Xenopus tropicalis: one gene and its partners. The main gene of each other region encodes a partner of the protein of the gene in region 3 in a complex. Links are inferred from orthologs where the notes say so. Each region holds a gene or a part of one and is shown on either strand. Other genes may lie near its edges.

Region 1 (3,753 bases), on a different chromosome or scaffold from region 3:
GAAAGGACACCAGTTATGTACAATTTGGTCAGAAATTTATACTGTAGTTACTGACCATCCAAAAAGGAACACACACATTTTGCACATGAACCAAATGAGGGGCTCATTCCCTCCCCGCAGATCTTACCTCTCGCATGGATAGGATGTCCACAGCAGGCAGGCATTCCAGCACATAGAGAAGAACATCTTCCGGCAGACTGAGCAAGGTCAGCACGCGGGGTCGCCTCTTTACTCGCCGCTTCGGAGGAGCAGCAAAGCATTTGGAGCAGCGGCAGTGCAAGGCTGGAAGGGAAAACAACGGATCAGACTGCAGATCCTGAGGAGCCACCCGTTCTACCAATGCCCTAAAGGTGTGAACTAAGTTTTCAGAAAGAAACACTCAGGGCTGGTTTACACTACATGCCAGCAGCAGCTACCTAAAGAAACCCAGGTCTCATTACTACTCAGGGCAGACAATTGCAGCAGTGGCAGTCTCTTCCATTTGTAGCAACCTTAGACTTTTCCACCATACAATTAAAATGCACCATATACAATTGTCCGATTCTATAAACTCTATATAACACAATGTGCCTGGAGAAAGCTAAATACAGCCTTGCTGCAACCTGGAGGGCCACCAATAGTTCTACATTAATGGTATAGGGCTCAATAAACCCATGGTTTCTGTGTGCTCTTAATGAGAAACAAACAAATGAAACTCACAGCAAACATTGAGGAAAGATACACAGCCTGGCTCCCAGAATAATATTTAGCATTAATATACCATGGGACAAGTCTGATTTGATATAAATTATAAACAGGCACAAAAGAAATGTACAACATGCAGCTCAGTCTGTGAATGCTCTGACAGAAATTTAAATCCCTCACGGATGCATGATGGGAGTTGCTTAAGAATTCTGCTCAGTTGAGCCCCTAGTGGCTGCTGGGCATCATTACAAGCTGATTTATCTCTCCCCTCAAATATAATCTTTCCCTTATCAGCTACTAGATCTCAACCCCAATGTGATCATTACAATTCCAGTACAGAATATAAATGATCTGAAAAGCAAATACACACTTTTATTTTCCATGCTAAGTTGTACTGGCACCAATCTATCACATTTACCAAAAATGCATCTTTTAAATCTCCAAGCATACAAAGCTGCCTTGGTGGGGGCAACTGTAGAATGTGCATAGAACATTAGATATTATAGATATACATAGATTTGAATTAACTTGTAAAAGTAACTAAACAGGACTATCAAATACATCAGTAATTCAACAGGGGAAACTCAATTTTAAACCCCCTGATTAAAATACATGAGACTTAATATCACTTTAAAAAATAGATCTTCATATAAAAGAGATGAAAACTGTGAAAATGACCCTACAATTAGATTGTAAGCTCTACGGGGCAGGGACCTCCTTCCTACTGTGTCTCATACCACATGGCACTTATATATATATTTATTTATTTATTATATCACTCGTCCTCCCTGTGTGTAATTTTGTATTCTGTAAGATTGTACAGCGCTGCGTACCCTTGTGGCGCTTTATAAATAAAGTTATACATACATACAATATTGGCAGCAGCCCCTCTATTGGGAAATAAGCCCCGATGGATCATGAGGAAAGTGTCCCCTCCCACCCACAACCAGTTACTGGCTGGCAAGTTTATTTTCAAACCAAACCCGCCCACCTCTTAACACCCAATAAACACACTAATCAACTAAAATGCCCCCCTGCTCCCACTAAAGTACCCCATGAATGTACATTAGGGAAACCTGGTGAGAGCACAGGCAGCACAGAAATAAAAGCCACAATCCACATGGGGAGCAATACACACACACAGGGACATGGGGGACACTGAGCTGAATAAAACTACAGATCAACCTTAATTATTATCTCAGGTAGTTAATTAGCCATTAAGGGGGATTTAAAGAAAAAGATAACTAGTATTTCATTCATTCTACAGCAGCTACAGTGCCAAGAGATCTGGCTATTATAAATCTATACTTCTAGGAGTATAATATTATATATAAAGCCATACATTCATTATAAACAAGTTACATTTAAAGGTCACAACCCCCCCCCCCCCCCCCCCCCCCCCCCCCCCCGGCCGCCCATCCTCCCACTTTCGGCAGAGTTTGGAGGGAGATTTAAAACTGCTGAGAGCAGGAAGTGACTTCTCAGGGGGGAATGAGATGAACACGCTCCCTGCAGGAATGCACAGCGTTATATATATATATATTCCTATATAACATGAATAGCACAATCACATAAGTGGAACCCCTAGCAGGGAAGGCGATCGGGGGAGCGCTAGGGTTTATAGGGTCTCTACCATACATTATAGGCAGGCAAACCTGTTGCTGAACTACATATCCCATCAATTTGCGCAGCAGGCGCAAACTAGAGGAATGTATGAACTGGTGATCGCAACATAAATATCAGTTATATCAGATCTACGCCTGTCAGACACTTACCTCCTCCCTTCATGCCGAGCAATTAGCTGGTGAGGTAGATGAGCAGTGGGAATCGGTGCTACCGCCTGGCTCAGAGCGCAAATTTCGATTTCATTAGGTGCCCGGCCTGCATATCCCAACTCAGGCCAGGGCTACGCCCACAGAGAGGGCAAACCAATCCGAAGCGAAGAATGAACAATAGCCACGCCCTCAAGCCAATCAAACGCTAGATGCTCTTGCGAAACCAGCCAATGGCATTTGCTAAACGGTTCCCACAGATATTAACACGCCCACATACTGACGTCACTGAGTTCCCGGAAGAACTCGTAGAGGCGCTAATAAAACCGAGATCGAAGTACCTGTTTGTTTAAGTATAAATCTATAATGTTATTAGTTTTTGCAAAGACCCGTTTTTAAGCTGCCCGCATTAATCACGGCTTTCATTGTCCGTGAAAAGAATATACAAAGCCACGCCCCTTTCTCCCAGTGTTCAGCGAGGCAGCGTGTATTTTTTTGAACGGCGCTCATGACGCGGATTGGCTCTGGCGAAGGGGGCGGGGCCATTTAAACCCAGGGCAGTAGTAGGCGGGGTGCAGGGAGGCGGGGTGCAGGTTCATCTGAGGCTTTTGGGGCATGGAAGTTTGCGCTAATGTAAAGCAGATATTGTATAGGCGGGAAGGTGAAACTCAGTGGTAGAGGGTTTGGCCGCAGGTAAGGGCGGCAATACGCGGGAGTAGGGCAATTCCTCAGCAATATGGCTGTGTCCCCTGAATGAACACTGAGGGGCAAAATTAGAAAAATGTGAGTTTATAACTTTAAGGAACCCTGTAATGGGGGACGTGTATTTTTAAACACATCAGTTAATGGAGCTTCTCCGGCAGAATCTGCATTGTAATCTGCTTTTGAAAAACTCAAACAGAATTTTTTTATATTTAATTTTTAAATTTGACATGGGGCTAGCCATATTATTCATTTCCCAGGGTGCCACAGCCATGTGATCTGTGCTCTGATAAACTTCAGTCTCACTTTACTGCTGAGCTGCAAGTTGGAATGATATCCCCCCCCTCCCAGCAGCCGATCAGCAGAACAATGGGAAGGGAGCAAGATAGCAGCTCCCAGAATAGCACTCAATAGTAAGAAATCCAAGTCCAGCTTGGGACTCCTCCAGTTACATGGGAGTAGGAGAAACAATAGGTTAGCTGAAAGCAGTTCTAATGTGTAGCGCTGGCTCCTTCTGAAAGCTCAGACTCAGGCACACTTTACTGGCGGGATGGCAGACGCGGCGGGGCGATTTCAGGAAATCGCTGAAAAAGAC
Region 2 (3,753 bases), on a different chromosome or scaffold from region 3:
CCAGATAAAGAGAAAGCTTGGGAACATTTTAGTTACAACTCCTGTAGCTTAAACCTTAAGAACTTTACAGTTAAAATACATTGCTCTTATATGAAAAAGAATCCATAGCATATAGTACTGGAGTATCTACACTGGTAGATCTGGCAGGTAAGCAAAGAACTAGCTCCTAGTTCTAACTAAAAGAGTGTACGTTTTAAAGGGTAACTTTGTGGACAGATTGGCCCCTGGCCCACCAAAACTCAGACATTTAGCTGGGGCTGAACTGCCAGAATCCCCCTACCACAAAGAATTACACACAATCCCACATGCAAAGCCAAGGGATACTGCTGTACAGAACAGATATGAAAAAAAGAACAGAAAGCAAAGAAAGGGGCCAAGACAGAAACGTTGCCCCCTTTCACCATGCAATATATTATCAGCATTGCTTGGGGCCTAACAAAGCATAAACATTCTTAAATACTGCCAAAGAGTACAAAATATTAAGATTCCCATAGCGTATTAGACATCCTTACTTCCAACTCGTGTATAAATAAACCAAATCTGATTCAATAAGGGCCTCCTAATTGGTGTAAATAATACAGGGAATTAGGAAATGCTTGGAGCCAATAATGTAGGAGCAACTCTAGAAATGTTCTCACGCCACAAGCCATCAAACAAACATAGGACAAGCTGAAATATAAAGTCAAGATTGCCAGTATTTCCAAAATACAATGAACACTTCAAGTATAAAGGATACTGACTCCGAAATAGGAAATATCCTAAATGTGACTCAGTACGACCTTTAAAGGTAAGGCTTGAGGGACCTTTCACTCTGCCCCCTTCCCAACATAATATATTGTGGAACAAACCTAAAGCAAAAGCATTTCCAATCTGCAGCCTTCTAGCTGTTATTAACAGCAATTCCTGGCATCCTACCAATGTAGCTGGTGTTGTGGGGGTTTTAGTGCAACAATAGGAGGGCCACAGCTTAGATATGCCTAATGTACATTTGTGCCATATGCATCTTTCTACAGTGACCCCTACACAATACTGTGCATCATCCATTTCCCACGTGGGTCATGCAGCCCAATCAGTCCTGTGCTTAGCCTTAATTGTTACTACCATAACCAAACTTCCTACTGCAGCATTGTACTCTGTGCTGCACTTTCCTCTCCCAGGCTGCACATGTAGGCCAGGCCTTACCCAATCAGCACTGGGAGCAGCCAGCATGTGTCACTGATATGAGTGGGACTGATCAGGCAGCCCAGAGGAATGTCTCCTCCCTGCAGCAGCAGCAGCAGCAGCAGACAATGCTCTCGCCTTCATTAGCATACAGCTGACACTTAGGGCTTTTCATAGTGACTGTCCCACTGAGCAGCATGTGGCCCCAGGAGGCTGTCTGACCCAGGAAGCTGGCTCTATAGAACAAATGGGAGCCCTAACCCCCCCCCCCCCCCCCCCCCCCCCCCACACACACACACACACACACACTTTTACTACCAGTTAAAACTAAATGGCTTCTCTGACCATGGTAAAAGTTTCACACCAAAATGGTGTGACACAAAATGGAGGACTATGATAAATCAAGGTTCCTTAAAAAGCTAAAAAATAACCAGAATCCCCTTCTGTTTGTATACATTGTGCATTAAAGGTCCCAGAGAACAGCAGTGCACATTCTCCCTCACTCACACCCACCCTTATCCTGCTGCACAGGAAAGTACAATTAGCAAGAGAGCAGGGATGCTTGAGTTTCCAGAACAGACACAAGGCTCCACTTGTTCACTCCAACTGCACATGTGCACTACTACACACTATATACACTACTACGCACTAATAATCAGAACTCAGCATTCTAACCACAGGCCCATCACAATAACAAACTCCATCAGAAAAGCAAAGATTACCCATGAAAATTGTTGCATGCTCCATTGATCAGAAATTCCCAATATGCTGATGTGTGACTACAAAACCCTGCATCCCCTAATATCCTCTGACTTCCATGGAATGCAGGGGCTTTAGTTTCCCCAACAGCTGGTGGGCCCCATATTGCATATACCTGCACTGTATAACTACAATAACTTGCAGCAGCACAAAATTCAAGGATTTTCCCCCAAACATTGTGCTCAGTGTCTATGCATAGGAACTTCAAGTGGGGCATATATTGTACATATAAATAGGAGCAAGTTATTTTTTAATATTTCTATTATTGCTAAACCCACCATGGAATCAAACAGTGACTAAGCATGGCAAACACACACATATATATATATAGGTATAATTCATATATAAATACAATATAGCCTGATGCACTTGGAAGGGTTACTTAGTTGTAAGAGTTAAAACAATGGTGTATATGAAAATCTGTCATCCTGCTACATCTCCCCACAGCTCCAAGCAGTCCTGAGTACAAGCCCAGAAATCAGAGTGCAAAAGCAAGTAAATATGAGGAATATTATCCAATAAGTCAGCAGGGACTACCCTCCCCCCCAGGCAGAGCATGCTGCAGGAAATTAGTGCATTGTGTGGGACCATGAGAGCCTGGGGATCAGCATATATCCCAGTCTTAGGGGGGATCAGGTAAGTGGGAGGATAGAAGGGGTGACCCTTATGCAAGGGACCTACCTCAACACAGGACACGACTGGCTCACTATTCCCAGCTCACTACTAGAGCCACTCTTTGTTACCATTGCCTGAAAACTTGAAAATGAGGCAGGCATGAGCAACCGAGCGTCGAGCGCATCCACCGCGCACATCCGCGATCAGACCTAGCCAGGCACAATCAAAACAATTGGCATGTTATCTCCTGGGCAGGCTGAAGGTTGCTAGGAATTCTCAGGCATCGGCTGCTTCACTTACGTCATGGACTTTTAAACGGCAGAAGTCCCGGCGCAGTTTATTAGCCACAATCTTTAGAAGGTTACCCCGGCATGCTGGGAATTGTAGTTTAGGGAAACTGGCGAGGCTGATAGACAATGTTTACGGTTAGTGTGATTTGATAGGCTGTGCCTTTCAGCAGGAGGAAAATAAATCTCTGGGTTTTCTGCTGTCCTAGTGGGATAAATTGAGCATTAATGATTGTGATTATCCAGGCAATGTACTGGGCAAGGAGGGATGCTGGCTTATTTCAGATAATTTCAGAAGCAAACTTTAGAAGGAAAAATAAAGATGACTTTCTGTTTCATTAATAAGCAGCACTGTATGGCCATATAGCTTTATGTATGGGCAGATCATTACTTCCTTGCTTATTGGAAGCACCATGTTTATTGATTTTGAACAGACACACACCATACTAAGGACAGAAGATCACACAGTAAGATCATATGTGACTCATTGGACCGCAGACACCTAAATGGTGCTTTGATTGCCCCAAAAATCTCTATGCTTTGTGTGAAATCACCTACTAGAATGTAAAGAATGGAGGGAGACCATTAAATATCCAAAAGGGTAATGCTTGGGCCTTGATAGAGGCAGATCAACTATGGTAGGCCTATGTACAAATGAACTGCTGGCCTATCAACCTACCCACCTGTTGCTGAATAACTAAGGGTACACAAAATAATGTGCATAAAGTAACATGTATATAATTGGTTACTTTGCCTTCAGTTCATGACAGATGTAATGTAATAGTCTTGAAATGTATTTTTCACCAACGTTTTTTTCAGAATTGCTTAAAACCCCAAGGGGTGATTCAGGGTTGTGCCTTTCAGGTGGGGATTAGCTCTACATGACCTATAAAAGATTAAGAGTGTCAATGAGCAGATTAACATTCTCTTG
Region 3 (3,753 bases):
TCACACTGCAGTGGAAGATGGGAGCCACTTTTGCCCTCCACCAAACCCCCCACTCCCTCACCCATAATGCCAGGGCCTGGAAAATGTATCTGCATTGGGCCCTGCCTTCTAATAGTACACCGATGATTATACATATCATTTAGATTTTACAGAAATTCTGGAAGATTTTGGGGGCACATGAACATCACCAATGGAATAATTCTGGTAAAAAGAACATGGGGTCGGGGACAATGTAACCAGATGCATCAAGTGAGAGGGGGGTTGTCAATAGCTTGGCGTCACGTCATCTTGTTTTTTCTGTGTTTCGCACTGTTTTCCTTTTCTAAATAAAATGTAATAATTAAAAAATGCTGTGAAACAAAAACAATTAAGGATGTGAACTTAAGATGATTTGCTGTAAACCGCTTTTTGCTGAAAAGTTGTTTTTTTTTATTGGCAATGAAAATAGATTTATTGATAAATTAAGCTAGCTCAATCAAACACACTGATCCCGTCTGCTCTTCAATTCAGAACAGCCCTCAATTAAGGGAACAAAATGAAGAAAAAAAAAAAAAGTTAACTTTTACTTTACTACATAAACTCGCTTATAAATACAACTTTTAAGGGCAGTTTTTAAGTAAAAATATACGCAAACAACCAACTTACAGAATAATCCCCCCCAACTCTTTAAACCTTTTTAGCTGTACACTCCAAATCAAAAGCTTCAGCCTGGTGCATTTTTATATACAAAATCTGTAACTTAAGTGATCAACATAATAAACAGCATAGGGAACAAATTATATATTATATAAAACCACAACACTATAGAACACCGGCAGCAAGCTGTTTGCACGGGGTGTTCGTAAGGTTAAAGGAAGGGACAACAATGCTGCTGGGATTTAATAAATTAAAACAAAATGTGTCACAATGCATACTACTTCCTCTATAAGGATGCACAGGAAATGCCAAGAGCGGGGAAAAGAAATAGGGGCGGCCCAAAGCTCTTCATTCAGAGAAAGAATGACACGAAGACTGTCTGTGCTGAGAGCTCTTACGTACTAACATACTGAAGTGGTTAGGCCATCAGCAACCAGTTCATCTGCTTGAAGGTTCATTATTAAAGCCTCACTTTTCTCCACCACCCACACCAAGCCCTTAACCCCTCTGAAAAACATTTTAAAAATGCATCATTTCCCCCATACACACACACATATGGGTAAATATAAGTGCTAAGACCAGACTATAACCTCTCGTTTCTTGTTTAATCTTCTGCAGTAGGGAGAGAGGTGTGTGTGCGTATATATATATATATATATATATATATATATATATATATATATATATATATATATATATATGGAAAAGGAAGCACACCATAAGAATGCGATACCTAGGTGCCAGAGCGAGGAATCAAATATAGTGTAGGTTATATAGTGTAGGTTGTCAGCACTCATAGGTTTTAAGTAATAAAGCAAAAAAGGCAACAAATAGAAAAATCAAGCAGTGAGGTTTATTTGTTCCGATGTTTCAGTCCTATACAGGGACTTTCGATCCCTGACGAATGTCCCTGTATAGGACTGAAATAAACCTCACTGCTTGATTTTTCAATTTGTTGCCTTTTTTGCTTTATTACTTAAAACCTGAGCGCTGACAACCTACACTATATATATATATATTTATTACTCACACACACATTTATTTTGGCGCTTGATTAGTAATACAAATTAACATCTCCAAAATCGATTTTCTTGCATTACAAACATGAACCTCCAAAAGGAATGTGGACCATAGGAATATATAGCCTTATAAGACAATTAGGAACTGGAGCAGCAATGAATGATTATTGGTAATAGGTTCTGTGCTAGACAAAAAAAAAAAATATCCTATTCAGGCACTATTTTACAAATCCAGAGCTGTGAGGCCACTAAAGTCACAGTCGAAGTTGAAAAGTTCTGCAGCACCCTCGCAGGTTTGCAATCCAAAGCTGTACTCCTGTGATGAAGCAGGAGACAGGCTGATGAAGTCATTGGGGAGAAAGTCCGGCATAGCATCCCGGTAGTCCAGGAGGAGGTTAGAGGGAGAAAGTGGGAGACAATTCAAGGTAGAATCAAGAGGTATTTCATTCTCTGGTGGCAGGAACGGCTCTACAAAAAACATGACAAGTAGGTTATATTAGTGGAGTGAGAAAATACAGGGTTATTGATAATAGCTCTTACAACAAGTTGATCCAGGAACTGGTCCAATTGTCATCTTGGTGTCAGAAAGGAAATTTTTTACCGCAACTGAGGGAAAACTGGAGAAGCTTCAAATAGCTTTGGGTGGGGGGCTAAACCCTTCCTGAGCTTAGGAACTGACCGGCAGTGAGAGTAAAGGTGGCCATAGACGTTAAGATCCGCTTACTTGGCGAAGTCGCCAAGTGAGCGGATCTCCTCCCGATATCCCCCACCAACAGGTGGGCGATATCAAGCAAATCCAGTTGTTTGGCCGATTGAACGAACGAATTAGAACGATGGTAATAGGACCGATCCGACTAAATTTTTTAACCTGCCCGATTCCAGGCCAGATGTTGGTCGGGTAGGCCTGTCGTTAGTGCCCCTACACGGGCCAATAAGCTGCCGAATCGGTCTAAGGGACCGATATTGGCAACTAGAATCAGCCTGTGTATGGCCACCTATAGAGAGAGTGTGAGTGTAATAAACAATAGAGGTCATCAGTATTATTGTATATTATTGCTGCTGAGATGTTCTGTGACAAAGTCTCCACCTCGAGTTGCAGGAACAAAGAACATGAGCAGGTAGGATTCTCATTGATGGATTACAATATAACCATGATATTATTAAACTACAGCTCCAAATGCACTTGATACCGTGATGTTAAAGTAGGCTGGAATTTGTAGCAGCAAGTCAAGTAAGGTGTAAGTAATCAACATGGATGTTGGTCTACTATGTGCCAAACAACAGACAAGATACTTCTATGTAATGCTAGCCATTCAATAAAGCTTTGAAGCCTATAAATGAAAAAAAAAAACTGCCACTTTCCAGCACATGATTTATTAAATCCCCAGTTCCACAGCAATGCTTTTTAGATCTGCTGTTTTTGTCAACCAAACATTGCACCTTAAATTTGCAAGCTCTGGCCTTACTTTGTAGTGCCACCAGAATTTGACCTCATTAGCCGAGACTGATTAGTATAGCCCTTGCTAAATGGTAGGTTTGCTTCTCGTTTAGCAGCCTGACTCTACAGCAGCAGATTTCCATGCAATCTGAAGCAGTTAGATCGGATTAAAGGAATAGTAACACCAAAAAATGAAAGTGTATAAAACTAAAATATAATGTGCTGCTGCCCTGCACTGGTAAAAGTTGTGTGTTTACTTCAGAAAGTCTACTATAATTTATATAAATAAGCTGCTATGTAGCCATGGAGGCAGCCATTCAAAGGAGAAAAGGCACAGGCACATAGCAGATAACAGATAAAACACTATTGTATTCTACAGAACTTATCTGTTATCTGCTATGTAACCTGTGCCTTTTCTCCTTTTTCCAAGCTTGAACGGCTGCCCCCGTGGCTACACAGCAGCTTATTATATAAATTATAGTAGTGTTACTGTAGCAAACACACCAGTTTTACCAGTGCAGGGCAACAGTGCATTATATTTTTATTACTTTAAAGCTCTTTCATTTTTTGGTGTTACTGTTCCTTTAACAGATTACTTAGACCAAGTTTGTTTGGAGACTTTGCTTTGTGTTTTCTAAAGCAGTAAACAGTGTGCTAGTA

The links.
Region 1: the proteins of e2f1 (region 3) and ccnf are in contact, whole or in part, in a cryo-EM structure (PDB 9CB3), measured with the Homo sapiens proteins. The link is inferred for Xenopus tropicalis from reciprocal best matches to the Homo sapiens genes E2F1 and CCNF. Residues at the interface, in NP_005216.1 of Homo sapiens: Gly84, Arg85, Pro87, Val88, Lys89, Arg90, Arg91, Leu92, Asp93, Leu94, Glu95, Thr96; in NP_001752.2 of Homo sapiens: Met309, Ile312, Leu313, Asp315, Trp316, Glu319, Val320, Met323, Arg349, Leu352, Gln353, Trp379, Leu380, Thr381, Asp382, Thr384, Asp504, Tyr505, Val508, Leu510, Thr511.
Region 2: e2f1 (region 3) and tfdp2 share a complex: the UniProt entries of both Homo sapiens proteins name them as parts of the DRTF1/E2F transcription factor complex. The link is inferred for Xenopus tropicalis from reciprocal best matches to the Homo sapiens genes E2F1 and TFDP2.

Annotation. Positions count from the first base shown.
Region 1 is NC_030685.2:22,529,156-22,532,908, reverse strand, and holds the start of ccnf (cyclin-F), read right to left. Parts: upstream 2,534-3,753; 5' UTR 2,473-2,533; coding exon 2,460-2,472; intron 283-2,459; coding exon 128-282; intron 1-127. UniProt on the Homo sapiens protein: Substrate recognition component of a SCF (SKP1-CUL1-F-box protein) E3 ubiquitin-protein ligase complex which mediates the ubiquitination and subsequent proteasomal degradation of target proteins.
Region 2 is NC_030681.2:129,561,299-129,565,051, forward strand, and holds the start of tfdp2 (transcription factor Dp-2), read right to left. Parts: upstream 2,811-3,753; 5' UTR 2,602-2,810; intron 1-2,601. UniProt on the Homo sapiens protein: Can stimulate E2F-dependent transcription.
Region 3 is NC_030686.2:41,701,426-41,705,178, reverse strand, and holds the end of e2f1 (transcription factor E2F1), read right to left. Parts: intron 2,124-3,753; coding exon 1,879-2,123; 3' UTR 406-1,878; downstream 1-405. UniProt on the Homo sapiens protein: Transcription activator that binds DNA cooperatively with DP proteins through the E2 recognition site, 5'-TTTC[CG]CGC-3' found in the promoter region of a number of genes whose products are involved in cell cycle regulation or in DNA replication.